Linked DNA regions of Notamacropus eugenii. The protein of the gene in region 1 interacts with the protein of each later gene in a pairwise test. Links are inferred from orthologs where the notes say so. Each region holds a gene or a part of one and is shown on either strand. Other genes may lie near its edges.

Region 1 (10,818 bases):
GCAAACAGTTTGTTGGAAGAGGTGTTAGCAATAAAGGCTGCCTAATGACTACAGCTAACAACAAAACAGTTCGTGGGGAGCTGAGATGTTTCTGCTCTACCTGTCCCAGTAACAAAAGCTTGCTCCAACTGGTAACAGAAATAAATCGTGGATGCCAGCAATACCCACCCCACCATATTATTCTCTTCAGGGTCAAAGTCTTTTTCCTTTTTTTCCATTAAAACAAGTAACGTGGTCTGTGCTGAGGACCAATTAATGAATGCAGGTACAGAAAGTGATACCAGTTGAGCAAAGATCATTTCCTTTCCAGTGTGGATTGTGCTACTGGGCATATTGAGTGTCCTTCCAAATCCCCTTAAGATAATCCAGAAATTCACAAACATCCTATTGCATACTACCCGGCCCATCCATATTAGGTAAAGCTGCCAATATACCTGCTATTCAAGTGTTAGATAACAAGCGATATACATAAATAAACCAATAGTCACAGATGCAAGAATTGTTTTTGGTTTTGTTTTTTACCACAAAGGTTTTAGGGGGACAGGCACAAAGGGCAAAAGGGAGTAACATGTGACCCCCCACCTTGGCTGTCGACATTTGAGGCTGTACAGAAGAAAGGAAGGTGAGGGTTTCACAATCGGAATAATGATAATAATCTACCAGTGGCTCTGAGCAACATTACTTGATTTCAGAGATAATGAGACCTGTAGTGCCTGGGGACACAATACCATTTTCCCCAAAGGTGTTTAAATAATCACCTACTTCTTACCTTTAAACCAACCAAGGGCAAAGGCCTGCAGAGCTTTTAATTGAATGGGACTAATAATGTACTTCCAACTCAAAGTATCTAGTTTCTTCTCTGCCACAGAAAAATCTCCAAGTCCAAACAGCCCAGGCTAAGTAGCCCAAGGTGAGATTCACCTTCATGATTATATTTTACTTACTGTACATTTTTACCTACTGAAATGTGGGTATGGGAGACAAGAGACAGAGTTTCCCTTGGACTTCTGGATAAAGCCCAAGACACTAATGACTTTAATGCAATTCCCTCCACCAGTGGTTGGTGGTGACTTAAGTTCTGTGGTTTGGGGTTAGCTAAGTTCTACCCTGGATTGCCCTTTGACTCTACACTGATTGCTGCTGTAAATAACTCTGGGGCTTTGTCCATTAACAACCAAGGGAGCCCAAGGTAAGGAGGAGTCAATAGAGCTGGGCTGCTGTCCAAGAATAAGGGCACAACTCTCCACTAGAGGGCAGGTTTTCCAGTCAGAAGGCCCGCATCTGGAGTCATGTGCCGGCCCCAAGAGGCCAAAACTCTCAGGTTCACAAAGGCAGAAAAAAAAAATTCATGGCACAGCCCCAAGAAAACACCTTTGCTGACTGCCTTAAAGAGGCTTCTGGATCTATTTAAAGCCACAGCCTCCTTAATGAAAAATGAATTGTTTAAACTGATTTTTTTTTTGACACCTGCACAAGTTGGCAAATAAACACAAAATTCTTGCATTAAAACCTTATATCAAAACATGAGACAAGTCACTTTGAAGTTTCAAACTTCAACTGCAATGTGGTAGAATTATTCCCAATACAGAGATAAATCTTTTAACACTTGAAATATCCTATCTCCCCATGTAATATTAGACTTTTTCAACTACCCAAGGCCAGCTCCATTCCCAAGCAGTATTCCTTTCCCAGCAAAGTTCTTTGTGAGCAAATACAAATGCCTTAGTTTAAAACAGTTCCAGAGACCAAACCAGAACAGATGCTGAAGGGAAGGTTAAATTTCTGGAACCAAATGTTAAGTAAAGATAAACCACCACCAAATTTTCTCTTAAGCACTTATGACGTTAAAATTCAGCTGTTACAGGTTTTTCTGCCCCTTTCAGGCCACACCATGGTACCATTGTGGAAGACGCTATATTTCTTGGGTAAAGAAAGGACCACTCGCTTCCACAAGTACCTGCTGACTGGGGTCCACTGGAAACCCTCACCTAAGAGGCCTCATTTTCCCCCCCTTTCTCCCACCTCTTTAAGTTCACTAAGCAGAGAAAATGTTTTGAGGGAAAATGAAGGTAGGGCTAATATTCTGTCCCAGGGATTCTACTACCCCCTATACACACACCTTCCTGGCACCCACGGAGAACCTGGCTGTCATGAACAGATGGGGACCGGGCTCAACAGTACAGTACTGGTTAAGCAAAAACTCGTGAGTTAAAACGTTAAGCAGTCATACCTGACAATAGCCCAAATCTTGAAAATGTAAATTTGTAACACTTCGTTCAGCAGTCAGTGACATTTCTCAGATGAACTAGAACGTGATTCAATATGTTTGCATGTAGAACGTGTATTTACCTATATAAGCTCTTTCTTGCTCCCTTGTAAGTCCAGGGGGGATGACAGTCGGCATTCCCGGAATCACCGTCTTCTGTTCCATTGTATCCTGGTTCCATCGGCTCCTCTTCCGCTTCTTATTTGGGAAATCTGAAGGCAAACGTGGTTCGTTAGACCCAAACAAAATCTATGAGCCCGCAAGCGTATACCCTACCGTGAGCCAAGGGAGCCCAATCGTGGCCCAAAAGTTGGATCTCCACCCGCCACCAACAATGAAAAAGCAGCCAGGAGAAACCTCAGGGGACCCCCAATTTAACCCTGGGTCACTACAAACTCCCAGACATTGTGGTGACCGGGACTTGACCAGGGACTGGACGAGGACCACTGGCTCACAAGGCTTCCCTCTCAGAGCCTCCTCTAACAAAGGGGGGGGGGCATTTGGGTAACCCTGATGCCCCCCCATCAGAGCACAGCCAGGCCCAAGGCTCAGCCCCCCCATACAGCCAAGGGCAGGCCCAGGAAGGGCGGCGAACCACCCTCAGCCCCCCCCCCCCCCCCCCGCACCCCGCTCTCACCGCCCAGGCGGCCCAGCATGGCCGAGGCTCCTCTGTGGGCCGTCAGCCCTCCTTCCTCACAGACCTATCTCACCCCATACGGGGCGGGGGCGCCCCGGACCCCTCCCTCTCCACCCGTCCACCTGGAGGCGCCCGCGGTGGAAGCTGCCCCCGCTCCAGCCCCCTTCCCCCTTCGATTGGCTTTCAAAGACGCGCAGGCGCACCAAAATGCCCCGGCTCGGCCTGCCAAGCGGACGGCGCCTGCGCACAGTGCTTCCGCCCCTGCCCTGCCCCCCCCTCCCGGCCTGCAGAGGACGGCGCGTGCGCGCCCTCCGCTCCCTGGCTCGGGCTGCGCGCGCAGGCGGCGGCGGCGTGCCCCCCAGCTCGGCCCCCCTGCCCCCTCCCTCCGTCCCCCCGCTGCGCGCGCGCCCCCGCCCGCCCCCGCCGCCGCGAGCCGCCGCCGTGGTGTCGCGCGCCCCTCGGGCGGCCGGCCTGTCCGCGCGCCGCCGGCCTCTCTCGCTCGCTCTCAGCGTCCGACTCACCTCCTCCCCCGCCGGCCGGGCCCGGCTGCGGGTCCTGGAGCGGCTGCGGCGGCGGCTGCGGCGGAGACACGTGCTGGAAGAGCGGCGGCGGCTGGGGCGGCTGCGGCGGAGGAGGCGGCGGCGGCGGCGGAGGGGGAGGCTGCGCCTGCGGCTGCGGGTACGCGGGGCCCGGCGGCGGGGGCGGCTGCGGCGGGGGCCCGGAGGCCGGGCCGGGAGTGGCGGCGGGCGGCGGCGGGGGCGGGGGCGGCAGCGCCGCGAAGGGGAAGGCCGCGGCCAGCGGCGCCGCCATCAGCCCGGGGCCCACGGGCCCCAGCGGCAGCCCCGCCCCGGGTCCCGGCCCGCTCCCCCCCGGCCCCGGCGGCGGCGGCGGCTCGAAGGCCCGCTTGGGCCCGGGCCCCGGGGGGAGGCCGGGCGGGGCCGCGGCCGGCGGGTGCAGCTTACCCAGCGGCGTGGCGTTCGCTCCGGTCGCCATGGCGCCCCCGGGGACCGGCGCCGGCAGCGGCTGGGGCGGCGAGGGCGGCTCCGGGGCGGCGACTTGGGCTTCGCGAACCTTCGCGGGGCCGCGGCGCGGGCGGCGAGCCTCCTCCGAGCGGACCGGACCGCACCGCACCGCGGAGCGAGCGCGAGCTCCTTCCTCTCACGCGGCGGGCGCGGCGGCGACGACGGCGGGCGGGCGGCGCGAGACGCACAAAGAGGGAGGAGGGGGGCGCCGGGGACCAGGGGGCGGGCCAGCGGACCGGCCTTCCGCCGCCGATTGGTGGACGTTAGGTCCAGGGCTGGGATGGGAGCGCTCGGATTGGCGGAACTGCGGCCGGGCGCTGGGTGAGCCGGGATTGGCCCGAGCCGTTAGGAAGAGAGAGGAAATGGCGGCGGGGATGGGAGGGGGCGCGGTGCGCTCTACATTTGTTACTGCGCGAACTGAGTTCTAGGCTACCTGGGGGTGGGGGTGGAGGCGAACTCTATGACGTCAAGGAGCAGCGGCCCTCTCATTGGCTGAACTGAGTACAGTCCATCAAGCGCAGAGGTGGGTCGGGATTGGCTGCACCGAGTTCTCGCCTCTCGCCCCGCCCCCCTCACCCTGGGGAGCAGTTTCCCCCTGATTGGAGAAGAGGTCACGGCCTCGGAGTCGGCGCCAGGCCGGGGCTGGGGCGGGGGGGCGCATGCGCACGGAGCCCCATGGCCTCGGTAGCTGGGCCGACTCTGGTTGCAGAGGTGACCCGCCCCTCTCTGGCTTAGAGATGCTCCCGGACCTTGGCTAAGTGCTTTGCCACGTGATCTCAGGTCCCGCCCCCCCTCGCCCCCCCCCGCTGACCTGAACGGAAGGGACCTAAGTGTCCATCCCTGTCTAGACAGGGAAACTGAGGCACAGAGGTGGCCAGGCCGCCTAGCCCAAGACCACGACCTCCCGGACAAAGGTCTGGGCAGCCCAGGAACTTGATTTCCTCTTCCGCCACAGTGCTGCTCCCCCCACCCCGTCCCTGGCCATCCCCTCTGGTTTTGCTGGGGGCGGGGAAGGGCGCGATGACGTCATTGCCCCGCCCCACGATCCCCGCCTCAGCGCCACCCTCCCCTCTATACCTACCGGACCCATTTGGACCCACGCAGCCCCTTGTCCTGGGGTGGAGACCCTCCCTGGCCGTGGCGGGATTCCGCTCCTTCCACCCCCCATGCTGGCTCCTCCCGCTCATAGCTGGGGACCTGGCCCCTAATTATCTCACCACCCTTCTGGCCCTTCTCCTTGCCAAGGCTGCCCCCTCTCACTCCCCCCGGGCTAGCGCCTCCATCAGCCCCCTTCCTTCTGCCTGCAGACGTGCTCACTCCTCCCCTTCCCCAAAAAAACCTTGCTCTGGAGGTGAGGGGGAACCTGCAGCCTCGAGGCGCGGGGCGGGAGGCCCCTGCCCTAGACCGGACCACCCCCCCACTGTTCTCCCTTTCTCAACCTCTCTGCCCCTGTCCTCCAGCTGAACCCCGGCCCTCTCCAGAGTCCCCCGTGCCCTATTTGTGCCAAGCCTGTCTTTGGCCTTTGATGCTGTGGACCATGCCCTTCTCCGGCTTATTCTTCTGAATCTCCCCACCCGCGTTGTGGGATCTGACCTTGGGGGTTCCTCCAAGACTTGGCCCTGGGCCGGGCTGGCTTTTCCCTTTACAGCCTCTCACTTGGTGATCTCAGCAGTCCCCATGGACCTGGCCCAGGCCCTTCCCTGAGCTTGTCTCACGTGAGACGTCTCAAACTGAATGTCCCAAAGACCTCTCAGACTCAGCCTCCCCTCCCACATGTCCCTATTTCGGTTCGAGACTTCCTAACCTCGGGAAAGGCTCGCTCTCCCTCGCTGCACAGATCCAACCAGTTGCCAGAGCTTGCCATTTCCACTTTCACAACCACTGACACCTTTTTTTCTACCCTGGAACCTACTAGCTTAATTCAGACCCATATCACCCTGAAGTCATTTCCCCTGAGTCAATCCATCCAACAAATCCATCTCCCACCTCCATGTCTTTGCCTTGGCTATCCCTTATGCCTGAAATTCGCTCCTCCTTAAAGAGTCCCTTCTCTGTCTTGAAAACCAAGCTTGAACCCCATCTTCCTCTCTAAACATTTCCTGACCCCTTCCTTCCACAGGATGTCGCATATATTTGTATTTATTCACATTATATTTATGCCCTATTCAGGGGTGGGGGACTTGCAGCCTCGAGGACACATGTGGCTTTCTAGGTCCTTGAGGCGGCCAAAAGACTTGTTTACAGAACAAATCCTTTTATCAAGGGGATTTGTTCTGTGAAGTTTGGATCAGCAAGAGGGCTGAACTTGAGGACCTAGACCCTGCCCTATATCTTTTCATATGTACTTAAAATCTCCCCATTTTCTAATATCTAGCATTCATTTCTTTTGTACTTGTACTCCCAGGACCAGATCTTTAGTAAAAACTTCATAAATGCTGGTTGATTTTATTGTTACATCTAAGATCAAATATAAATTCTTCAGCTTGGTATTTAAAGCTTTTCACAGTCTTGTTGTTCAGTTGTGTCAGGTTTTTCATGTCGAGATATTAGATGGTTTGCCATATTCTTCTCCAGTTCATGTTACAGATGAGGATACTGAGGTAAATAGAGTGAGGTGACTTACCCAGGGTCCCCCAGCTAGGAAGTATCTGAGGCCAGATGTGGGCTCAGGAAGGAGTCTTCCTGGCTCCAGACCTAGCCGCTTCACCCCCCTTCCCTGGTCTCTGGCCACCCTTTTGGACTCTGACATTTACAGCTGTTCCAAGAACAGACCCTCCCTCTCTTGGCTCTTGCCATTCTCTCTGGCTGTCTCTCAGGCATCCTACTGGAAACCTTCCCCAGCCCCTTAGTTAATTAATTCCTATTTATCCTGTCTAGGGCTCATTGGTATGGGATTGGTTTCAAGTTTTCTCACCCATTCAGCCAGGAGCCCCTCCAGGGCAGGGGCTGACTTTGGTCTTTCTTTGTATCCCCAGCACTTAGCACGGACTTGGCACTTAGCAGGTGCTTCATTGGGGTTGCCCAATTGTTGCCTTAACTAGGTGAGAGAATGGAGGAGTGAGCATTAACTTCCTTAGAACCATTCCAAACTGGGAGAGACTGGGTTATTCCATAAGCAATTTGTCTAAGTAAGAAAGAGAAAATCTCTGAGGAGGAGGGGGACAAGACAGGACACCAGGGAGGAAATTCAGAAGGTCTGGATTTCCGAGGTCGGTGCGAAGAGAGGAGGCCTAGGAAGTCCTGAGAAAAACAGGCCAGCCTTTTTCCAGCTCCCCCTTCTTCCATGCCTGGCGGTCCTCAAACACTCCCACGGGAAGGAAAGTTTTGTTACCTAAGTGTTTACAATAAACTGGATTAAGTTTGCAAGAGAAAGGAACCCAGCCTCTTCCAGGTAGGAGGGATTTTCCTGAGGGCTCAGAGCAATTGGAACTTTTCATCTGAAAACAAACGCAAAGCTAGAGAGGGGAGAAACCTGGGGACCTTAGAGCCCGTTTTATTGACTGCAAAATAAGTTAATTGCTTTGCCCAAGTGCTACCCCAACTTTCTGGTCTTCCAGGGTCCAGCCCACTGTCTCCCACCTAGTTCTATCTCCCACCTAGTTCTGTCTCCCACCTCCCTTGTCTTTCTGGGTCTAAGGTACACCCCACCCTAACACTCAGAAAGCACTTCAATGCTGGGTGACTGAATGATGAAGGGAATTCACATCTGTAAATCCTTCACAAACCTTAAAAGCAGTTGCTTAAACTTTTCTAACATGGAGCCAAACAACAGGTACTGCATGGTACATATAGTAGAGGTATAGACCAAGATAAGCACCAAGTAGAAAAGTCATTTGGGAGGGGGAGGCCTTAGAGACTGGGGTAGGGGGAGAGGAATGGTGCCCAGGAAAGGCCTCCTGCAGAGACAGTGCTCCATCTGAATCTTGAAGAAAGCCAGGAAGACCCGGAAGAGGCATCGGGAAACAGTCAGTGCACAGATGGGAATTAGAGTGGACCAGCAAGGAGGCCACTTAGGTCAGATCATAGAGGTCTGTGGACAATAAGGTCCAAGAACCAGGGACCAAGTTGGAAGGATTTGTATTTGATCCTGGAGGCAAGAGGTACTGCAGTCTATAGCAGTGTAGGACTGGCCTGGGTTAGACCTGCATTTTAGGAAAATCACTGGGGAAGGAACTGAGAAAAGATGATGCTCAACTTCCCCAGGTCACCAGAGCCAGCCAGAATCTGAGACTAGGAACTTTACCAAATGCATTCCAATAGATTTGCCGAGGATAGCAAATGGAAGAGTGTAGGAGGGTGTCTCATGCCCCCACCCCCTGGAATACAGCAGCTAACAAGATGTTCTACACCAGATAACTCTGTGGTGGAGAATATCTCCTTGATTGAGTTCTGGGAGCAAATATTTAAACTAAGTGTGAACAATCTTTAGATACCACTACTGAATCATTTAATTAATCAGAGCTATAAACTAGATGTGTACAAGAAGTGCTTCAGGCCACTGAATGAAATCAGATGGCAAGATGTATTAGGATTGATTAAAAATTCTAAATATAAAACTGCAAAATAATTACGAATGCCTTATGTAGGACATTCTGCAAAGATATAATCCAGTAAGACCTCACATGCTTCTTATCTGCAAGACTTCCTATTAAGTTTATTTTACAAATTTTGTTAAATAAGAAAATCATTTTTACTGAAATAAGTTGTAACTTGGAAAATGTTTAGTAGAATATAACAATCACCTATAAAGTTAATTTTTATGCTGGACTTTATTTGAATAAAATTTTGTAGTATTTGGTTGAATGCCAATAAACAGCCTTAAATCTGGTTCTGCATCAATTTCTGTGTTTTGATTTAAAACAAGAATAATGTCTTTTGTTCACACAAATAAGAGGTGGAAAATGGCAGGAGAATTTTATAAGTTTTCTGCTGAAAGATGGAAATTCATTTTTTTATTTCTAGCTGCCTAATCAATCATTGACAATTAATAGCTCATTAGAATATAAAGCATTTATTTATCTCCTGCCTTATCCCAAGTGTCGCATTAACTGGTAACTGTCCTCAGAGCACAGTTGCATATTTTTTTGTTTTTTTTAGCAGTGTTTGTGTGTAAACTAATCTTGGGAAGTGAAAGCTCTCTTCAGGCAGAGACTGTCTCTTTTTCCACAACTGGCGTACCAGTTACACTCTCATAGAAAGTACAGGAACACTGTCCAGTGTTGCTGCCTGGTCCAATTGAATATCCACTAGAGAAGAAGATAAGTTTAAACTTAACGTCAGCCTCTGGACTTCCGTGAGAGGCCACAGAAAGTGTTTTGATGGTCCATGACGGTTTCATCAGATGCCTTCCGGGGTGCTGCAAGAGGGCCAACCTGAGACTGTGATTATACAGCTGATGAGGTCTGATTACAGGGTGACAGAAGGGAATGAGGGAGCAGCACTGGGGCAGCCAGCAGAGTGCTGATGAGTCTGTGAGCACGCTTGCTTTCCACCATCCCTTGGGAGTCCATTTGCATTAGAATTTGAATCCTGGTGGTGACTTGAGAACAATTTGATGACAGGTTGAGAAACTGCAAGGACTCATCAGATGCCATCAGATTTTGCTGTAGCTGCAGCATGAACACCAAAAATTGTGTGCATGATCATGACAGTTTGGGGTCACTGCAGAAACAAACTCATGATGTCTCATGCACATGCTGGGTATCACCCAGGAAAAATATATTTGCAACATAATTGGACTATTATTTACCTCTCAAGGCTCCATTAAGGCATCTTTAGCACGTTTCCAGCTCCCAGAGGGGATTCCCTGAATTAGACACCCCTCTGGGCCTACACATGTCAGAGAAGCATTCTAGCAACTTCTTTCAAAAATTAATCTTTGAGATCACTTTGAGGACTATGATCAAAGGACAGCAGTGTGGGAGGGGAGTCACCCCAGAATTAGTGTCTCCATTCACTCCCCATTGACAGTGTCAGGAACATTAATGCAATCTGGCCACACTGAAAGGCATGTTTAGGGCGCATGACCCCTTCAAGAGGCTACAAAGATCTCAGTTCTTGGGGCCCAGCAGAGTGCTACACATGCTGCAGGGGGATGTCATGAGGAGTCCAGAAAAGGAGGCCACAGGAACAGTGAGTTGCCCCTTTGCCTTGTCATCCCTAGCTAGAGACCACTTTCCCCCGTATCTGTCGGGCCATGTGCCCCAGACTTAGAGGGAGAATGTCTGTGCCCCCTCGCAGATCCACCCAACTCAAAACGGATCACTTTAAATGGAACTGAAATCGACCTCTTTGTCAATTCCCACCCACTTTCTGGGGCCAAGGGGAAGAGGTAGAAGCCCTCTCCTGTGAGACAGCCCTTTGGATATTAGCAACGATCCCGTCCAGAGCCTTCAGAGGACAATGTTAAATGCTATTTATAAATACTATTAAATAATAGAATATAACAATATGTTTATAATAATATTAAAGAGGAGGATAGTCAGCATGTATGTGGCACAATGTGCCCAGCCCTGTGCTAAGCCCTTTGATCTTCACAGCAACCCTGGGAGGCAGGTGTTATTACTATCCCCATCTTACAGATAAGGAAACTGAGGCCAAAAAAAAGTTGACTTTTGCAGGGTCTCAGGCTAGATTCAAACTCAGGTCTTCCAGCCTCTAGGCCCAGCTCTCTGTCCACTGTGCCACCTAGATGTGCTTCACATGGCAGCATCTCAAGGCTCTTCATCTGGTTGCCAGCTACACGATGCTGGCTGATTTATCATTGTTTCTGAAATGTGTCACCTAGAATCAAGTAGAGTTCTCTTACTCTGTATGGAATTGGAATCCAGCTCAAGCCTGGGCTGCCTCGCTATAGCTGAATGGTGCAATGGATAGACACCTGGAGTGAGGAA
Region 2 (10,341 bases), on another chromosome or scaffold:
TTCATCAGAATATCCTGGTGGGGAAAGAGATCTCTAAGGTAATGGAGACCTCCTCCAAGATAGAAATCATGAAGGCTCCTGCTATCCTTGCCAGCCTGAAGGTCTCTATATACATAAATTTATACCCCTGTTTTTTTGTTTTCTTTTTTACTTCTAAGGTTATATTTTCTGGAGGAGAAGATGCTTTCCTCAAACTCACAATCTGCCTTCTCTATAAGAGCAATATTGCTTTTGTTCATGACAGTCCTTTGAAGTAAATAATTGTGATGTCATTTGGCAAATGTTGGGCCATTCTGTGTCCCATCCTGGATACATGCCTTGGGAATTCAGCAGAACGCTTTACTTTTATCAGATCAACAGCTAACTGTGTGTACAATGGTACATCAGGGAGTCATCAGCAGTGATTACTCATTTCTTCTTCCTCTGATCTCTACTGGATGACATCTCATCTGACATTACCTGTATATTCCCATTATCAGTTCTTAGGGAACAAACAGTACCTGCCTCCACAGAGGGCTGAGGGTTTTTTTGTTGTTGTTCTAGTTGAGTAGTGAACCTTATTTCTGTTCTTGAGTCCTGCCTGTGGGCCTTACCCCCACCAGATTTTTTTTTTTAATTTTATATAATTTATTTATTTTCAGTTCTCAACATTCACTTCCATAAGAATTTGAATTCAAAATTTTCTCCCCATCTCTTCCCATCCCCACTCCAGGACAGCATGTACCCCATGTACCCCTTCCTCCAGTCTGTCCTCCCTTCTATTACCCACCCTTCTTCTATCCCCCTTCCCCTCTATTTTCCTGTAAGGCAAAATAGGTTTCTATACCCTATTGCCTGTATATCTTACTTTCCAATTGCATGCTAAAACAATTTTTAATATTCATTCTTAAAGCTTTGAGTTCCATATTCTCTCCCTTCCTCCCTCCCACTCATCCTCATTGACAAAACAAGCAATTCAATATATGTCATACATGTGTAACAATGCAAAGCACTTCCATAATGTTGTAAAAGACTAACCACATTTCCCTCTATCCTATCCTGCCCTCCATTTATTCCATTCTCTCCCTTGACCTATCCTTTCACTATAGTGTTTGCTTCTGATTATCCCTTTCTCCAAGTTGCTATCCCTTCTATTATTTTCCCTCTCATCCCCTTCCCTCTTGCCTTCCTGAAGGGTAAAATAGATTTCTATATCCAACTGAGTGTGTGTTATTCCCTCGTTAAGCCAAATATCATGAGAGTAAGGCTCACTTATTTTCTTTCATCTCCCACTTCTTCCCCTCCATTGTAAAGGCTCTTTCTTCCCACTTTTATGTGAGATGATTTGCTACATTCTACCTCTCCCTTTCTCTTACTCCTAGTACATTCCACTCAAGAGTAAATTTTATTTTTTTAGGAATTCTCCCTTCATATTCAGCTCAGCCTATGCCCTCTGTCCATTTGTGTGTGTATATATATGTATATATGTGTGTGCATATATGTATACATATATACACACAAACACACATACACATATATGTATATATGCATATATACACACGCACACATACACCCGTGTGTGTGTATATATATATACTTGCACATGTGTGTATACATACCCATACCCATACATACATATATTCCCATACACATCTACATATATATCTATATACATACATACATATACATACATATATATTCCCTCCAATGACTCTAAAACTGAAAAAGGTCTCATGAGTTACAAATAACATCTTTCCATGTAGGAAAGTAAAAACTTCAGCTTTATTGAGTTCCTTAAGGCTTCTCTTTCCTTTTTACCTTTTCATGTTTCTCTTGATTCTTGTATTTGAAAATCAAATTTTCTATTCTTGTATTTGAAAGTCAAATTTTCTATTCAGCTTTTGTCTTTTCAACAAGAATGCTTGGAAGTCCTCTATTTCGTTGAAATTTCATTTTTTCCCCTGAAGTATTACACTCAGTTTTGCTGGTAGGTGATTCTTGGCTTTACTCCTATCTCCTTTGACCTCTGGAATATCATATTCCAAGCCCTTCGATCCCTTAGTTTAGAAGCTGCTAAATCCTGTGTTATCCTGATTGTATTCCCACAATACTTGAATTGTTTCTTTCTGGTTCCTTGCAATATTTTCTCCTTGACTTGGGAACTCTGGAATTTGGCTACAATATTACTAGGAGTTTTCCTTTGGGATCTCTTTCAAGAGGTGATCAGTGAATTCTTTCCATTTCTATTTTATCCTCTGGTTCTAGACTATCAGGGCAGTTTTCCTTGATAATTTCTTGGAAGATGATGTCAAGGCTCTTTTTTTTATCATAGTTTTCAGGTAGACCAATAATTTTTAAATTATCTCTCCTGTATCTATTTTCCAGGTCAGTTGTTTTTCCAATGAGGTATTTCACATTGTCTTTTATCTTTTCATTCTTTTGGTTTTGTTTTATAGTTTCTTGGTTTCTCATAAAGTCATTAGCTTCCATCTGCTCCATTCTAATTTGTAAAGAACTATTTTCTTCAGTGAGCTTTTGAACCTCCTTTTCCATTTAGCCAGTTCTGCTTTTTAAAGCATTCTTCTCCTCATTGGCTTTTTGGACCTCTTTTTCCATTTGGATTAATCTATTTTTTAAAGGTGTTATTTTCTTCAGCATTTTTTTGGGTCTCCTTTAGATATCACCTAGTTCCACAACCTTCATTTTACAAAGGAAAAAACTGAAGCTGAGAAAGAGAAAAGAGGTTTCCAAAGCCACCTAGCAAGTCAGTGTGATTTTCTAGCATCACTTTCATTTCTCTTCCCAATTTTTCCTCCACCTCACTTACTTGATTTTCAAAATCCTTTTTGAGCTCTTCCATGGCCTGAGACCATTGTATTTTTTGGAGGTTTTGGATGTAGAAGCCTAGAATTTTATATCTTCCTTTGATGGAATGCTTTGCTCTTCCTCATCTGAAAGGATGGAATAAAATACCTTTTCCCCAAGAAAGTAACCTTCTATAGTCTTATTTTTTCCTCCTTTTCTTGGACATTTTCCCAGTCAGTTACTTGACTTTTGAGTCCTTTGTCAAGTGGAGGGTATACTACCCTAGGCTTCAGAAGTTTTGTGCAGCTGTTCTCTGAGATATCTCTAGGAACCTGTAAGTTCTCAGTTCCTCTAAGGCCCCACCAGAGTTTTTAAAAATGAAAACCAAAGCCCATAGGAAATGGGTTCATACTCATTCATTGGTTTCCTTCAATTCTAGCAGACAATATATAGATTCCTGATACCAGTCTGATTCCCTTCCTTGATCTATAGACTGAAACCCAATTTTGACTCCAACCTAAATAGTAGCCCCAATCCTATATTAAGCTTTGATCTCAGCCTTGAACCCTGACCTCATCAACAAACTGAACTCTAACTTCAGAGGAAGACTTTATACCAAAGATAGACTGAGCTGTGACCTCCAACTGAATCCTGACCCTAGTCCTAGACTTTGCTCTGAAAACCAGACCCACTTTGAATTGAGAATCCAGACTAAATCCAGACACAAGACTAAAATTTTCAATATGGTTCCCTGAGTCCTGACCCCAGCCTTAGATCAAATCATCTTTTTTAAAATCAAGTCTAGACTGACATCTGACTCTATGTGCCTTTCTCTTATCCATGCCCTTCACTTCAAGTTTTCTCTCTCTCCTCAATTTTTTTAGAGCATTCGTCCTAGATCTCTCCTTTTCCTATATCACATTGTAGGTTTCTAACCTGTGAACTCACTGGATTCCCTGCTACCACTCCCCTCACACCATCCCTTCCCAACCAGAATGAAAACTCCTTAGAAGGCATAAACTATTGTTTTTCATTTTTATGTCCCCAGGACCAAAGATAGTGTCCTCTTGCCCTTAGTAGGCATTTAACAAATATTTAGGTAATCCAAATTTAATGACTATCCCTGGTTCTATGTTCTCCACTGTCTTCCAAAACTCATGGTGGCTCCCTAGTTGGGGACTTGACTTTTGTTGGAAGAGAAGTTGGGTGAACAGGGCAGGGTGGCACTTTCTGGAGTCCTGAGTTCAAGTGCCAGCCACATAGACTTGCTAAGTGGCTTTGGAAACCTCTTTTCTCTTTCTCAGCTTCAGTTTTTTCCTTTGTAAAATGAAGGTTATGGAAGGAGGTGATAGCTAACACACACACACACACACATCACGCACAGCTGAGAGGATCAAGGGGCAGGAAGCCAAACTGGTTATTACTAAATCCTTCATTTAATATCTGTTCATTGACAGAACCTCAGAAGAAACTTTGACTCAGATATGTTATGTTGTCACATGTCTATGTTCATGGCCCAAGTTAATAGATAGAATCTGAGCCTCAGGTCTTTTAAAGTCGAGTGCTTTCCACTATAGTGCACCATACTACCTCCTTTAAATACTGCAAAGATTTTCATTCCATATTTATAGATGTGAATAGCTCTGGGACAGGGACTGCCAAGGCAGCATGGTGCCATGGGGAGAGAGCTAGATCTGGAGTCAGGAGACATTGGGCCAAGTCAGGTCAAATCCACAAGCACTTAATAAGCATCTATTATATTCAGGGATCTGTTCTAAGCACTGGGGTTATAAAGAAGGGCAAAAAATAAAACACCAAATCCCACCCCCACCCAAACTAACTAGTCTTTCAAGGGGATAAAATGGGGGGAGGATGGGAGACAACATGCAAACAACTGTAAACAAACAAGATATATTCATAGAGGATAAATTGGAAATAAATCCTAGTTCTGACACCTAAGATATAGAAGGGACCATAAGCTTCAATGTGACCAGCCTTCTCATTTTACTTACCAGCTGTGTGATCCTGAGCAAGTCATTTGACCTCCTTTTGCTTCAGTTTCTTCTTCTTCAAAATAAGGATAATGTTGCTTGGGTTGTTGTAAGGAAAAATTGTTTGTAAACTCCTGAGCACCATAGAAATGCTAGCTATTATTATGCGTGCTATATTTTAGGAATGATATTGACACTGAGAATCTGGAGCCTGTTTCAGTCAAATTACCAAGGATGGTGGACCATGTCACAGGGTGATCAGATAGGAATGTTTAACCTAGAAAAGAGAGGCTAAGGGAGGAGGTGATTTGTGTCTTCACATATTCAGAGAACTGTCCCATAAAAGAATGATGTGACTTGTTTTGCATAACCACAAGAGGCAGAGATAAAAGAAATGAAATCCCAGAGAACCAGAACTCCCCAACAATAAGTGTTCTTTCAAGATGGAATGGATTTGCTCTAGAAGGACTAAACTTCCTGTTATTGGAGGTGTTCAAGGGGAACCTGGGTGACCACTTGTTACCAACACTGCCGAGAGAATTCAGAGCATCATGTAGGGGTTGCCTGGTATCCCTTCCAGTTCTGAGATTCTAGGATTCTGTAATTCTTCTCATTCTATAATTGTGCAGCAGGGACAATTCTCTCCCTTCCCAGTCTATGGAGAGGGACTGGTACCTCACCCTCCATTCTAGCAATTTTGAGAAACAGCCCAAGGTAATTTGAATAATACTTCTGTCTAGTGACCCTGGGGGAAGTAGGGAGGGTGGAGAGATAATGAGGGAGAAATGAAGGTTTCACTCCCAATCTCTGAACTCAGTAGAAAATGTTGATTTAAGTTGGAGACAACTGTTGCTGTCCTTCATATTGGAAGGGGAACAAAATAACATTATGGGGGGGAGGAGAAGGGGGGTCGTCAATGTACATTGTGTCTAACTGTGACTGATCAGACCAATATGAGCTCAGAAGGTTCTATCACAAGTTGGGCACAAGTAGTCCATATGAACATTTGGGATAAGAGATGTATCTAAATCTGCACATCTCATGTTTCTTTTGAGCTACTGAAATCCTGCTTTTGCTCATAGAACACAGCATCTTTTTTTTTAATGTGGTACCAAATTCAGGGAGAGAGAAGAGGTGAATGGTAATGAGTCACTACAGTGAGTTAAAGACAGATTTGCTAGTTTAGGTGAAAGAAGAAAAGGTTCCTATAATCTCTGAAAGACTTCTCAGAATTGAAACCATGGACTATGATGACAAAGTATAAAAGAAAATCTATTAAAGGGGACTGGCATATATTCAGATTCCCTTTGATGATACTCTTTCTTTTTTTAATTGTATTTTATTTTTTCCAATTACATGTAAAGAAAATTTTAAACATTCACTTTTGTAAGATTTTGAGTTTCAAACCTTTTTCTTTCTTCCTCCCTTCTTCCTTTCTCTCCTCCCCAAGATGGCATGCAATCTGAAATAGGTTATACATGTACAATCATATTAAACATATTTTCATGTTAGTCATGTGAAAGAAAGAACAAAAGGGAAAACCAAGAGAAAGACAAAGCAACAAGAACAAAAAAGGTGAAAATAGTCTGATTTGGTCTGCCTTCAGACTCCACAGCCCTTTCTCTAAATTTGGTTAGTATTTCCCATGGTAATACTCTTTCAATCAATCAATTAGCTTTATTAAGCACCTACTATGTGCCAGACACTGTGATAAGAGCTGCCCCTAGAGAGCTTACAATCTAATGGAAGAGGTTGGGGATAGTTTTGATGATGTATAATGAAATTGCTTTAAAGAGACTTTGGAGTAAATGTAGACATTCTGTAATTGGTTCTGCTTTGCTAACCATGTTGTTAGGAGAAGACTTTTCAATTAGCTACATGACCAGAATTGGGGATATCTCAAAGGACATCTGAACAGAGTCTCAGACATTTTCCTGGGCCCTTCTCACCTAGTTCTCCTGGTTTGACTTCTTTGCTAATCGCATCTGGTGAGACACAATGCTGTAAGGAGACAGACCTTGGTCCTTCTCCACTGAGATCAGTATGTGACCACATGAATGGGCCTTGTGTCTTCCTTTTCCATTTTAGTTGAAAGGACTGGAGACTCTGACCTGGTGAGGTTCAAAAGGTCAAAAGAGCAGTAGAGAAGATACCTCTGACCTCTCAGGGTACTCTTAGAATCCTGAGAAAGGAAGTATAACAACCTGACTCTGGGATAGTAAACCAGAGCACACTTGCTACAAAGGCTTCAGAAAAATGAAGGTGAGTACTTCTAACCAAGATGGATGCTTGAATGAAGATGGGCAGCTCAGCTTCCATATACCTACTCTAGCAAAATACTAAAAATTAACATGAACTAATGATGAAATAATGATCAAGAAATTCAATGAGAAACTACTTCATTCATCTCAGAATGGCACAAGTCTGTCAGAAGTCTACCCAACAGGAAAGGTGGCATACCAGAAAGTCAGCACCAATGCAGGCAAACATCTCCTAATGTGACCAGAAATATCTGTAGCCCAAAAGGCTATGTATCAAGAGGCAGGGGGAGCAGGGGGCTTCCATGAAAAAGTTCTGAGGTTGGATCCATAGCTTGGATCTTAGGAGCCAGAAGTATCAGTGAATAGTATGGGCATGGCAGATCTCAGGTAACATCCTTGGCCCAAAGGCTTTGAAATCCCTAGCACTCTGTCCTAAGATACCATAAAGAACCCTAAAAATTCAGTATTCTGAATCTCAAAAATCCAAGGAGGTCTAAAACCTACCAATGCTCTTAATGTAGACATACCCTGGGAGGTTAAGATCGGCACAGAAACCCAGGTCAATACCAAACAGGGCTGACCGCTCTATCCAAAAGGACATCAAAAGACAAAGACTCATCTTGGCACAGCAACTAATGATGCAAATATGAGTAAACAGAAGACATCAGGCACTATAAAGAATTATTATAAGGGGCTCAGCACCTTCCAGCTCCAGTGGTGGTTAGTTTTGCTGTATTTTGTGCAACTGTCTCCCTCCATTCTATATGATGTAGAAGCATTCTCCAGCAAGGCTATCCTAAAGGTGCTGAAGAATGGAATACCTGATCCTATGGCTTTTGGTTTCTGGAATCATCTTTAGTAGGGATCTAGGCAATGTAATTGCCTTAAAGCCAGATGCTGCCTGCTCACACAGCTTAGAGAAAGAGGGCTTTGTTGCCTCCCTGGCTCCAGTGCCTGTGGTCCCTGCCTTTTGTTCAATATGATCTCAATTGCTATATTCTCAAAGGAAAATTACTTAGAACCCTGTTGTCCCTGGGGCAGGAACCCAAAAGCCTGTCTCCTTGGGGTATGTATATGCCTATGCATCTAGCCTCTTGCTCATCTAGGACTGTGGAGATATGATCTCTGGATCATCCATATCCACGCAATGACATTCTTGTTCCCATGATGATTGTGATTGGTACAATGGCTGGGCTTTCCTCACTAGTTATGGATATAGTCTGCTGGTGTGGTTTATAAAAGGAAATCTGAGAAGGCAAGAAAAACTGAACCCATTAAAATATGTATAGTCATGCAAAACAAATTCCTTTATTAGTCATATCTCCCTTACCCCCTGCCCCCACTAAAAAAAGGAGGAAGGAAAAAAGGAAGGAAGAAAAGAAAATTTGCTTTAAGATACCCTCTGAATCCATCAGCTCTCTATGTGGAGGTGAATAGCATGCTTCATCATGAACTGGAATTTTGGATGCTCGCTGTGTTGATTATCTATTGTTGTTATTGTATCAATAGTACTCCTGGTTCTGCTTACTTCACTTTGCATCAGTTCATTCAAGTCTTGCCATGTTTTTCTTGAAACAATCCCCTTTATCATTTCCTATAGCACAATAGTATTCACCATAACTTGTTCAAATATTCCTAAATTGATAAGCAAGCCCTCAGTTTCTATTTCTTTGCTACCACAGAAAAAGCTGCTATAAATATTTTTATACATGTGATACTTTTCCTTTTTTTTTTTTTTTAGATTTTATTGGAGTATACGTTTAGTAGCAGTGTTGATGGATCGAAGGGTATACACAGTTTAATACTTTTGGGGTATAATTCCAAATTACTTTCCAGTATGGTTGGACTACTTCACAGTTCCACCAACAATCCACTTAAGTACCTGTCTGTTTTTCCCACATCCCTTCCTGCATTTATAATTTTCTTTTTTTTCTCAACTTTGTCAATCTAATGGGTGTGACATGGCATTTTAGAATTGTTTTAATTAGCATTCTTTAATTATTTGTAATTTAGAACACTTTTTCCATATGGTTGTTGATAGCTTGGATTTCTTCTCTGAAAATTGTCTTTTCATATCCTTTGACCGTATGCCAATCAAGGATCATGGCAGCATATTAAAAAAAAATGAATAGAACAGAAAGAAGGTCGGAATCATAGACAAATAAGACAACTTTGATAGTTAATATGTTGAATTTATTATTATATTACATTATAAAGAAAAGCAAGCTATAGATAAGAGATCCACAGTTTCATATATAATCCTCTTGTTATATTATGAATTTGAAAATGCACATTTTATTTAATGTTTGTTAAAGTCAGAATTAAAATAATAATCAAACAACAACAAAAACCAGAAGGTACCTGCACTGGTAAATGAGTTTTTTCATTCAGAAATTCCCTATAACACTGAAATCTCTATTCCTTATCCCTTGTTATAAGCTTACTAATCATCAATTAACTTAAACATTCCAGTATACAGATAATATAAGTGAGGATTACATATGAAATGGTGGGCATCTGTTATGTACAGCTTGTTTGCTAATATGTATGTTTAAATGAGGCATTAACAAAATTGTTCTGCTTGCGTTTCCCTCTGAGCTTTTTTTCCTGTATTTTTAATTGGTGCTCTTTTTTTGAACCTCTATCACTTTCCACTAAGTCAATCATTCTTCTCATCAACAAAAGTCCTCTTTTGTTCCAAATATACAGTCAAACAAAACAAATCAACACAATGACATATCTGAAAACGTATCTTACATTCTGCATCTCTGTTCCATCAACTTCCTTCCAAGAGGAGGCTGACACACTTGATTATCATTTTTCTGAAGTTATGATTGCTCACTGTATTGAGCAAAATTTTGAAGTCTTTCGCAGTTGTTTTCCTTTACATTATTGTGGCTACTGTATAAATTATTTTCCCCGTTCTGCTTCTTTTTCTCTGCATCAGTTCATATATCTTCCAGGTTTTTTTCTGAATTCTTTATATGTTCTTTATGTGTTACATTTATATACAACAACTGGTATCATCATTCCCCAGTCGATGGGCATCCACTTTTACAAGTCTTCTTGTATATGGTCAAGAAGAACTACTTTCCTGTACACCTTATGAATTTCTCTCCTTAATTGCACTAGGACATACCACAGTTTGATGTACACTCTCCCTCAGCACCTGGGATGTATAATTTCTACTGAGATTCCCATGGTTTGAGAGACTTGGGAAAAAACCCCGTGCAGTCTCCTTAACTATCTCTTGTAATTACTACAACCTGGCATTGGTGTGTGTGTGTGTGTGTGTGTGTGTTCAG
Region 3 (10,949 bases), on another chromosome or scaffold:
AACACATGGTCTCTGAACTATGTCTGTGCTTATGCACCCTGACCTACCTGGCAACAAAGCTGGCGGTCTTGTCCACAATATTCCTAACCTCAGGAGGAGGGTAGATGATTCCCACAACAGGCTTGGAAGGGGTAGAGTCCTCCTTGGAAGCTTCTTCTTCTGGGGGCTGCAAGGACAGTAAAGGGTGAGCAAGAAACTCCCATAGACCTCAGGATCAAAGACCCCCCTCCCCATGCAGCCAGGAGGGAAAAGGTGAGACCAAAGGGTGAAGCCCAGCTCAGGTGGGTGGGCTGGTTTGATCCTAGACTCTGTGAGTGGAAAGGTCCTTGAGGCCTCTGAATCAGCCTCTACAAGGCCCTGCCCTCCTACTCTTGGAGGATTCTGCTTAGGAAGTTCTTCTAGACACTGAGCTTAAATCCACTTCCCCTGCCCCTGCCCTCCACCCCAAATTCTGCCACCAGCGCCAAGCAGAAGGAGGCTGAGTGTCCTTCCATGGGATGCCCTACAAGTACCTGGAAGATGCTCACCATATTCCCAAGTCTTTTCTTTTCCCCATTAATTCCCCTCCCCCCATTCCAACTCAGTTTCATGGGCTCTGGTCTCCAGTGCTCTCCCCATCCTGGTAAATGCCCCCCAGACATTCTCTACCCCATCAAGCCCAGGATGGTTCACTTGTTGCCGCTCAGCTGTTTCAGGTGTGTCTGACTCTCTGTGACCCCATTTGGGGTTTTCTTGGCTGAAGTGGTTTGCCACTTCCTTCTCCAGATAAGGAACTGAGGCAGAGAGGGGTTAAGTGACTTGAACAGGAGTGCCTGAGGCCAGATTTGAACTCAGGTCTTCCTGACTCCAGGCCCAGCCCTCTGTGCACTGTGCCACCTACCTGGCTGCCCCCGTTCACTTTTACCTACTGCTCTTAGGACACTCACTCACCCCTTGTTCTGGGTCCCACACCACTCCATAAGGTGTTAACTGCAGACCTACTGGGCTCACTACTACCACCAGCCCTGAGCACAGAGCCTGGCACACGGTGGATACTTAAATGTTTATTGATGGACAAAATCAATCTTCTAGCTCTTTTGGTCAAATAAGGGGAACAAAACCTTGATCTTCCATTCTAAGATTCAACAGCATTAAAACAAAATTCTTAATAAGAAAGGGAAAAGAAAACATCCTGCAGACATCAGCAGAAAGCTGAAATGTGCTCCTCTGGCTTCCTTCACCACCCCCCCCCAAGGGGCCTGAGAAGAGCTGGAGCAAACCCTACACCCCCATATCTAAGGGACATGTTAAGGAGGGAACCCTATTAAAATCCTTGGGCCCTTGGTCTGAGAGGACAAAAAGGGGAAGGAACAGACAACAAACCTCCTCCCTTCTCTCATTGCTTCCTGTACTTTCTGTCCTGGACACACTCTTCCCCATCCCCTGCCCTCTCCCCCATCTATGCCCTAGTAGAATGCCCCACCCCATCTTTCCCCAGTAAACAATCTGTACTGGGGAGGGCTCAATTCCTGGGGCAGGAGTGCTCTCCTAAGATGGTATCTGAAATAAAAGGTCTGGCCCCTTAAGGGAAGGGGACAAGATGGATGACCAAGCATCTACACTGCTTTTACCAGCCCCTAGCTCTGCTCCAGGACCCTCAGCAGGCCCTTTTCTATGTCCCTGTCAGTGTTCTCTAGTGGGTGGGAGGGGGTGACTTCTGACTTGGATGGAAAAAGGAGGAATTCCCAGATGAAGAGGCAACAGGAGCCCTTCTCAGCAAGGACAGGCTGGTCAGGCTGCACGGGTGGAGGGTGGGACTGGCTGAGTGCTGAAGGACATGGCTGAAGACCTTTCTTTGTGACCAAGGAAGAATCTTTCCAGCTAGAGTAGGCAAACAAGAGAGCAAAAAGCCTCCAGGTCAACATTCCTTACTTTGGGAGGAAAAACCAAGAAGGACATTATCCTCATCACCACGGAAGTTCCATAGGGGATGAGGGCAGGAAAGAGCCCAGACTGGCTCATTAGGGCTCTCTTAAAACCAGAGTCTTCAGGGAAGTGCCCCAAGGAGGCCTTAGTATATTAAACATTTGTAGTGGCCATGCCCTGGGGTGATACCACGTTGAGGTAAAACAAGAGTCTGTGCAAAGCAGCCAGGTGAGGGATGGCAGAAGAAGCTGCCAAGGAAGCCAGAGTGAAGTGGGGAGGCCATTTCAGTCAGCAAAGATGAGGGAGAATGGGCCCCAGAACAGTGGAAGATGCCTCTGTAAGGCTTTGTTCTCTTTCATCCCTCACCCCAAGAGACACAGTGTTTTTTTTTGTTTTGAGGTGTAGTGCTGGCCTCACAAGATGTGTTCCCAAGCATTCTTACCCCCAGGGACTCAATTACAACATTCAATGAACATCTGGTGCCCGCTGAGCAGGGCTGTGGAGGATGCCATGCTAAATAAGCAGGCCCTGGCAGACATAGAGTTCGGCTTAGACAGCTCCTCCTCTTGGCAGGCAAGACACAAAGGACCACCAGAATATAAAGACAACATTAGGAGGCAGAATTCAGATGCCTGCAATGACTAAACTTGTCTTCAGAGGACTGATGGGGAAACAGAACCCCCCACTGCTGGCTGAAAGGCAGGCAGGGGTGGGGGTGGGTGAGGGATATTAGAGGTGGGGAATCCATTAGCACATGTCAGGCTTTACCAACAGGCTGGGTCGGGTTTTTTTGACTTACTGCAACCATGAAATTAAAAGATGCTTGTTCACTGGAAGGAAAGATATGACAAACCTGGACAGCAGAGTAAAAGCACAGATATGACGTTGGCATAGTCAGAGCTATGGCTTTTCCAGTAGTAGCATATGGCTGTGAGAGGAACTACAAGAGTACTACAGAACTGACACTTTGAATCGTGGAGCTGGAGAAGAGTTCTGAGAGTCCCTTGGACATCAAGGAGGCCAAATCAGTCCCTTAAAGAAATTAATTCAGGCTACGCACGGGAAGGTCAAATACTGAGGCTGAAGCTTAAATAGTCTGGCCACATGATGAAAAGCCAGGACTCGTGGGAAAAGACTCTGATGTTGGGAAAGACTGAAGCAAAAGGAAAAGGGAGTGGCAGAAGATGAAAGGGATAGTGTCACGGAAGCAACACACATGACCTTAGTCTTTGAGAGAGAGTAGGAAAGAAGAGCCCGGTGTGTTATAATCATGGGGTCACAGAGAGCAGGACAGGACGGGTCAACAATGTAAATTCAACTCAACAGACATTTTCTGGGGATTTGGTGCTGAGCACTGGGGCCATGAAGAGAAAAATCAAAGTTTCTGCCCTAAAAGAGCTTTCACAGGGGAGTGGAACAATTCATGCAGTGATAACCAGATGTGAAAATACACACAAAGATCTAGCTGGATGGGAACATTGTTTTCCCTGACAGAATTCCGTTCCTTGAGGACAGGGGCTGTTTTGTTCCCGTGTTCGGGTGGCTATGGAGTACTCAGCATGAGCACACACCCTTTCTCTCTCTCTCTCCCCCTCCCCGGAAGGCATTCTGGGAAGAGGTGGCAGGCCATCTCCCCCTCGGAACCTTCAAGGGAGGCTAGGAAACAGCAGAGCCCCTTCACAGAGGCACCGGTCCGGGAGGCAGCACGTGCTATCCCAGCGTGTTACAGGAGGGCGCTGGGCTCGTGCACCGATCAGACAGCTCGCTCCAGGCACTGGAGCACTTGGACGCTCCAACGCACTCCAAGCGTGAGGGGCCCCGAGCCAGCGCTCCTGGCACTGCCTGGCTAACTCTGCACACATCCCTTACTGCGTCCGTCCGTCCGTCCTTCCTTCCTGCAGAAGGCCGTGACGCCCGGGGGACGACATGACTGGCGCTTGCCGGTGACTCGAGGGCGGCACCAGCCTCACCCTCTCCTCCTGGGACTCATCAGGAGCGGTGCGATGGCCCAGCACGCCTCTCGGGACCACGGAACCACGGCACAACTTCTGGCGTAACCTTCCTTGTTCTGGACCTTCAACTGCTTACTGATAACGAACTCACAATTTAAAAACTTCAGGAAGGCGGGCTGGCGGAAGGCGCTTTATCCTGGACGCCCCCGGGCAGGTGCCGGATGGATCACTGAGCACCTCCTGCGTGCTAGGCTCTGGGCACAAAGGGGGGCGGCGTCTGCCCCCCAACAGCTCACAGTCTCGAGAAGAAACTCTGGGCCCACTCCCGAGCACGAATCCACGAGCCGTCCCGACTTCTCGGCCCACGCGTGCGGTGAGGTCACAAGTGGGAAAGGGCTACGTGATCATCATTAATCATGATTAATTGGTTAGGATTAATGAGGCTCCATCGCGGGGTTCGTGTCTGCCTTTCCCTTTCCCGGCCCCTCCCCCGTCTCTCCACGTGTCTGCCTTTGGGGGAGGGGCCCGCGGGCAGGGGGGGGGGCAGTGACACTCGTCCTTCACCCTGCCTGCCTCCGTTTCCCCATCTGTAAATGGAGATCCCTCCGGGATCTGCGGCAAGACAACCCCAGGAGGGGTCACCGAGAGTCTGGGATGGGCCCAGCGCTCAGGGGGCTCCTCACCACGAGCCCGCCCCGGGGACGAGCAGGCTCCCGCCGCTCTGCACACGCGGCCGCCGGCGGGGGCGCTCAGGCCACGCTGGGGCTCCATGGCAGCAGGACCACGGGCCTAGAGCGCCCTCGTCCGGCTCCCAGGTGGCCGCGCGGCGCGGCCAGCGCGAAGCCTCCTGGGAGCTGTAGTCCGTCTCCCTCTCTGCCATGGAGGCCCCAAAGCCTCCAGTTCCTCTCCCCTTCCCTCCCATCAGCGGACAAGGCCCAGAGGGGCCCGCCAACCGCCTACCTGCTTGGGCTCCGTGGCAACGGGCGGCGGCGGCGGCACCGCCTGCACCGGTCCGGCCGGCATGTCTGCGGCGCTGGGGGCGGCGGCTCCAACGGCGGTCCGGGCGCGAGCGGCCGCTACGACAGGGCCGAGCCGGGCGCTCACAAGATGGCGGCGGACCGCCTTGATGGAGGCGGGGAGACGCGCTTCCGGTCCCGCCCCTCGCCTTCCGGGGGCGCTTCTCCCTTCCCCCCGCGCACGCCGGACGTGGAGACGCCGTTGCCATGGAGACGGCCAGGCGGGAGACCTCAGTTACTCGGCTGGGAGCGGCTGCGGACCTGAGAAGTCGAGGCCGGGGCTCCGGGGGCGGGAGCTGCGGGAATAGTTCCAAGAGCTGCAGCGGCGCTGCTGGGGGCAGGTGAGCTCGGACTGACGTCTCGGGGTCCCATCCTGCCCCGGGGTGCCCAGCCCGCCTGGGCCCGGCCTTTTCACTGCCCCCACTCTGGCCCCGCCCCTCATCTCCCCCCCATCCCTGGGATCGCCCCTCCCACCTCCCCTGGGGAGCCCATCCTCCTACCTCAGGGAGCACCTGCCTTCCTGGAGGAACCCCGCCATTATTGTCCGCATCCCTGGGCCCCTCCCACCTCGGGGAGCACCCCTCCTGTCGCAGGAGCCCCGCCCTGCTCCCTCCCCCCCTTCCACAGCCCTATTCCCAGGTAAGGCTCCTTACCTTCCAGGGGCTCATGTCAAGCTCCGCCCCCCCGTCCCCTCGCCCCCCCCGGGTGTCGGGCCCCAGGCTAGGGACTGGGGTCGTGGGTACGAAGGGAAGACCAAGAGCACCGGAGAGCAGCTCGGCCTGGTCAGGGACTGGCCGGACCTCCTAGCCCTCCGTCACCTTTCCGAGGCTCAGGGCTGGGCTTCAGATCGGGAGCGGTGGGGCCGGGCACATGGGGGGGAGCCTGAGACACCCCCCCCGCCAGGGCGCCCTAGAACGAGCCGAGCACAGGTGTCTGCCCACGTGCCCAGAAAGCATCCCCTCCCTCCCCTCCGGGGTCCCACCCAAGAGCTCAGCTGGAGGGACATGAAGACGTGTGGGTTCCGAATTAAAACCTGGGAAACCGAGGCCCAGGGCGCCGGGAGGCAGGAGGTGGCGCTTGTCCTGCCTCCGCCCAGGGCATCTTCTGGCCTGCAGGATGGCCCATCTGCTGGGGAACCAAAGCTGCATGGACAGCTTGAGGAAGGACATCACAGACCTGCAAGGAGCCATCGTGGACGTGTTCTCTCGAGCCGGGGCCGTGCGCTTCCCCTCCTGGAAATTCCCCGACAAAGTGTCGTGCGACCTGGACTTGGTGTCCCTCTTGGAGCACTATGACCACGAGGAAGGGAACCCGGAGTTCACCCAGCTTTCCCATGTGGTGCTCCTGGAGCTGGTGATTGACAGGTGAGGGGCAAGCCAGGGTGCCCCGGGGTTGGAGCGGGTGCCCGGAGGGCAGGGGCTGCGGGCAGGGAAGCAGGTATCCGCTTGACTTTCCAAGGCTGGGAGCTGTCCAGAGCTAGAGTGCTAGGGGAGCCCCCACCTTCAGAGCCACAACAGCATTTATATAGAGATCTGCAGTTCAGGACTGATGACATCCTGAGGGTGATGTCTTAACTCTGAGAACTGGATTTCAGTGAGGCAGAGCCAGCTAAGTGTTCAGCCTTACTCCCTTCTGAGTCATGGAAAGTCCAGCGGCACAACATAGGCCCAGACGCTCAGGATGGCCTGAGGTGCAGGGGGTAACCTTGGCCTTTCTAAATGAAGGTCTTTCTCAGGCCTCAGTTTGTCTGAGGCACACCCAATCTGATGAAGGGCTGGATAAGAACTGTGACAAAAGATGGCTGAATTTACCATCACAGAAACATCAGTCTGGAAGGGGAAGACCCTCAGAGTTTCTAGCCAGAACAGAAAATAATTGCCATGCACACTCATTCTAGAACTCAAGAACTGGCTGGCTGGGGGCTCTTATTGGCCATTCAGTGAAACCTGAGTGACAAGTCAGATAGCTCCATTTGAAACACAGGCTTTTTTTTTTCTTTTTTAAATTTTATTTTATTATTATTTTTTAATGTTTTACAATCACTGCCATAAAATTAAGATTTTATCCCCCCAACACCTACCTCCCACTACCTCCCTCCTTCCCCACGACAGCATACAATTCTGTATAGGTTCTACATATACTTTCCTATTGAGTACATTTTCACTATAGTCATGCTATGTAGTCGAACTAAAATAAATGGAAGAAATCATATAACAAATCAAAACATGATACACAAAAACACACACACACACAAACATGATCTGCTACATTCTGCGAATGACTTCCATATTTCTTTCTCTGAGTGTGGAAGGCATTTTGCCTTAGAAAACCACCATTGGGATTTTTTTTTTTAATAAGTTCTTGCATTATTACGAAATTCCAAGTCTACCAGAAAAAACTCTCGCACACTGTGGTCGTTGCTGTGCACAAAGTTCTTCTGGTTCTGCTCCTTTCACTCAGCATCAGATCATATAAGTCTTTCCAGGCCTTTTTGAAATCTTTTTGTTCATCATTTCTTATGGCACAATAGTACTCCATTACATTGAAACACAGGCTTTTTAAAAGCCTGTTTTTCCAGGAATGTTATCTCATTTGATCCTTACAATTATAGTTCCATCTTACAGATGAGGAAACTGAGGCTGAGGGAGGTTAAGTCCACGGTCAGTAAGTGTCCCAGGCATGATTCAGACTCTGGTCTTCAGACTCCAAATCTAGCACCATGCACAGTCCTACCATGCTGCCTCGTGGGAGCTGGAAGACCTTCAGAATGTTATGGAAGGTGGGGTGTGTGCTCTTCTAGGCTGAGTAGATGCCTCTGGAGCCTCTGGCAGCTCTGCTCCTCCAAAGAGGAAATGGGCCCCAAAGGTGCTGGGATGGCCTGGGTGCAAGGTAGGGCATGAGCCTCCCGGCTGCAGTCCTGACTTTGCTGCTTATCAGTAGTGGGACCTGGGTAAGTCACTGCCCCTTTGGGGGCCTCAGCTGCTTAACTCAGTCAGGACACACAAAAAGCCCACAAGTTTAAAAAGCAAGAAAACTCAGAGTCCAAGCTCTGGACAGTCTGGCGGCCACTCAGAGAGCCAGTGAGCTTTGAATTTGGCAAAAGAAAACCTACCAGGGGCATCTAGGTGGCACAGTGGATACAGCACCAGCCCTGGACTCAGTAGGACCTTGAGTTCAAATCCAGCCTCAGACACTTGACACTTACTAGCTGTGTGACCTTGGGCAAGTCATTTAACCCCAACTGACTTGCCTTCCCTGCTCCGAAAGAAAAAGAAAACCTGCCAAAGGGCCAAGTGACATGTCCTCTTTTATGTCAGGGTACTTAAGAGTACTGTCCAATGTGCTGGCCAACATGCCTATAGAGCTTTGTGAGCTCCCCAGGGTGCCTTGGTTTCCAAGACCACTGACAAACTGGGTGACCAGGAGCATCCTCCCCAGGTGGAGGCTTTCGAGCCCTCTCTGGCCTGTCTGGCTCTGGGCCCTCAGTCTGAGTCTCTTTGTCCCCCAGGCTTCTTTTGCTTCTCCAGAGTTTTACCAGCTACACGGACAACATCACCAGCAATGAGCTGATCCCCGTCTCCCGTGAGGTGGGGCCCTGCATGTCCATTGGGCTCACTGTGCGCAAGTACTGGACCAGCACACTGAAACTGGGAGAGCTCTACCGGCAATCGCTGACTAAGGTAGGGATGGCTCTCCCAGAGTAGCCCTTGGGCATGTGACCTCCAGACAACAGGAGTGGCTGACAGCTTCCCCCTCTGCCAGGGCAGGGGGTCTTCTCTCGTTTCTTGCTTTGGAGCCAAGTTTGTTTCTTGTATTTTGCAAAATTCACTTCTGATTTTTTTGGTGTTTGGTTGTCATTTTCATTTGCATTACAGTAAATGTGTATACTGTTTTCTTGGCTCAGCTGACCTCACTCTGCATTAATTCATGTGGATCATTCCATGTCTCTTCATATGCTCACATACGTTATTTCTTGTAGCACAGTAATATTCCATTATGTCTCATAGACTCCCCCATTTATTTATATTGGTTATCGCTCTTCTTCTGTGCTTTATCCTTCTCTGGTTTAGGTATTAAGGCTAAATTTGTCCAGCTAGGTGGTGCAGTGGATAGAGCACCAGTGCAGGAGTCAGGAGGACCTGAGTTCAAATCTCACCTCAGACACTTGACACTCACTAGCTGTGTGACCTTGGGCAAGTCACTTAACCCCAATTGCCTCATTCTGGGGCATCTCCAGTCATCCTGATGAATATCTGGTCACTGGATTCAGATGACTCTGGAGGAGAAGTGAGGCTGGTGATCTGCACAGCCCTCCCTCACTCAAAAAAACAAAGTCAAGTGCAAGTCACGTCATCATTTCTCTGATGGCACAGTCTTCTTCGGCAGTGAAGGATAAATGCACACAATCAGGACCAAGAGTATTTTTTCTTTGGTAGTTCCTTTACAGGTATATCTGTTTTGAGCTATTTAAGATCTCAATTTTATCTTTTCTCCGATGTTTATTTTACATTTTTGAAGTTTTTCCCCATGGCTATTGTATTTCCACTTTTGTTAGCGTATGATTGTGTATAACAGGTTCTGATCACTCTTTTTATTTCTTCTGGTTTCGCTGTGATTTCACAGTGCTAGTTTACAATTTTCTGGATTTGATTTTCTACCCCCTTTTTAGTCAGATTGACTAAAGGCTTATCAGTTTTACGAGTATTTTCAAAGAACTAACTTTTCATTTTTATTTATCGTTTTTATAGTTATTTTGGTTTATCTATTTGTCCTCTTATTTGTGTCATTTCTTCTTTTGTGTTTATTTTAGGGTTGTTGGTTTGTGGACAATCTAATTTTTTAAAATGTATATTCAGTTCCCCAATCTTCTTTTTTTCTATTTTATTAAGACATGTTTGCAAGAAGAAGATTTTCCCGTGAAGGACTGCTTTAATTGTATTCTAGAAGTTTTGTTGTTGCCTCATTATCACTTTATTTTGCATAATCACTAATTGTTCCTATGATTTGTCCTTTGACCCACTCATTTAGAATTTCATCCTTAGGTCTGTGTATTTTATTTGTGCTCCCTGATGTGATGCCTGGGTATGTCTTTGGTTTTCAAATGTGTTTCTTGTAAGCCACAGAATGTGAAATTTTCTTTTCTATACGACCTGTTATTCTTTTCCTTGGATTTTTTGGATTGTTTAATCCATCCACATTTGAAGTTAATTTTTTCCATTTGTCTCTAAAATTGTTCCCCCCTCCAAAAGCAGTACTATATTACTTAATTTTAGCTTAATTTATTTTAAAGTCGCCCTCTTTCTACCTGCTCTCTTCCCCTTCCCCATAAATTTGTCCTCCTCTTTCTGTTTATTACCCCTTTCCCTAATTTTGGAGTTTTGTTTCTTTGTTCCTTTTTCTTTCTTGTTTTAAATTTTTTCTCCTCTTTTGTTTTTCCTCTTAGTTAAGTAGCTAACGAAAATTCCTCTTCCTCCTTTCCCCTTTAATTTACTTTGTTCATTAGTTTTTTAAATTTCATTTTTTTGTACCTTTATTCTTTTTAGAAAAAAATTCTTTCTAGGATGGTTTTCCCTTTTGTCATTATTTATCTTCATTTCCTGTATATTCTAGAGTTTTATTCTTTGTCCTTGTATTTATTTAGTCCTTTATTCCCTATATTCCTCATGGAATTAGAACTTTGGAAGTACCTATTTTGGGTTCCCACTTATAAAGTATTTCTGCTATTGCCCCATGGACTCCTTTTTTTTTTTTGTACTTTATTCTTGGAAATACTATTACCAGCAGGTGATAGAGAACATATTTCCCTGAGGAAGGAATATTCAGCCCTATGTCCTTGATTGTGCAGTTTATTATTGGCCTTTTCCCTCCCTTTGACCATTTCCCTGCATTTGCCTTGTGGTCTCTTCCTGGGCTCTGTGTCCTCCCACTCCTCTGGGTGCCATTTGCTCCCAAGAGTCCTGATTCCCCTTCTCCTGAGGCATAAGGTCCCCATCTCCTGTCATATAACATCTCCTTTCTCCTATAGGAGTATTCATCAGCTGTACCCTCTCCCACTACAGGGAGGTCACACTCAGGC

Evidence for each region. The genes of interacting proteins can lie anywhere in the genome.
Region 2: the proteins of SF1 (region 1) and FAM168A interact in binary tests that used the Homo sapiens proteins (3 or more experiments, as listed by UniProt). The two-hybrid records come from large-scale screens. The link is inferred for Notamacropus eugenii from reciprocal best matches to the Homo sapiens genes SF1 and FAM168A.
Region 3: the proteins of SF1 (region 1) and SF3A1 interact in binary tests that used the Homo sapiens proteins (3 or more experiments, as listed by UniProt). The link is inferred for Notamacropus eugenii from reciprocal best matches to the Homo sapiens genes SF1 and SF3A1.

The regions. Positions count from the first base shown.
Region 1 is NC_092873.1:17,540,470-17,551,287, forward strand, and holds the start of SF1 (splicing factor 1), read right to left. Parts: upstream 4,083-10,818; 5' UTR 3,897-4,082; coding exon 3,866-3,896; intron 3,555-3,865; exon of another isoform or gene 3,425-3,554; intron 3,082-3,424; exon of another isoform or gene 2,923-3,081; coding exon of another isoform or gene 2,904-2,922; intron 2,479-2,903; coding exon 2,350-2,478; intron 1-2,349. UniProt on the Homo sapiens protein: Necessary for the ATP-dependent first step of spliceosome assembly. Binds to the intron branch point sequence (BPS) 5'-UACUAAC-3' of the pre-mRNA. May act as transcription repressor.
Region 2 is NC_092876.1:131,753,518-131,763,858, forward strand, and holds the start of FAM168A (protein FAM168A), read left to right. Parts: upstream 1-5,391; 5' UTR 5,392-5,432; coding exon 5,433-5,489; intron 5,490-10,341.
Region 3 is NC_092875.1:15,042,146-15,053,094, reverse strand, and holds the start of SF3A1 (splicing factor 3A subunit 1), read right to left. Parts: upstream 4,951-10,949; 5' UTR 4,881-4,950; coding exon 4,818-4,880; intron 167-4,817; coding exon 48-166; intron 1-47. Other genes in the region: CCDC157 (coiled-coil domain-containing protein 157), read left to right, coding at 5,081-5,214, 5,989-6,237, 8,382-8,553. UniProt on the Homo sapiens protein: Component of the 17S U2 SnRNP complex of the spliceosome, a large ribonucleoprotein complex that removes introns from transcribed pre-mRNAs.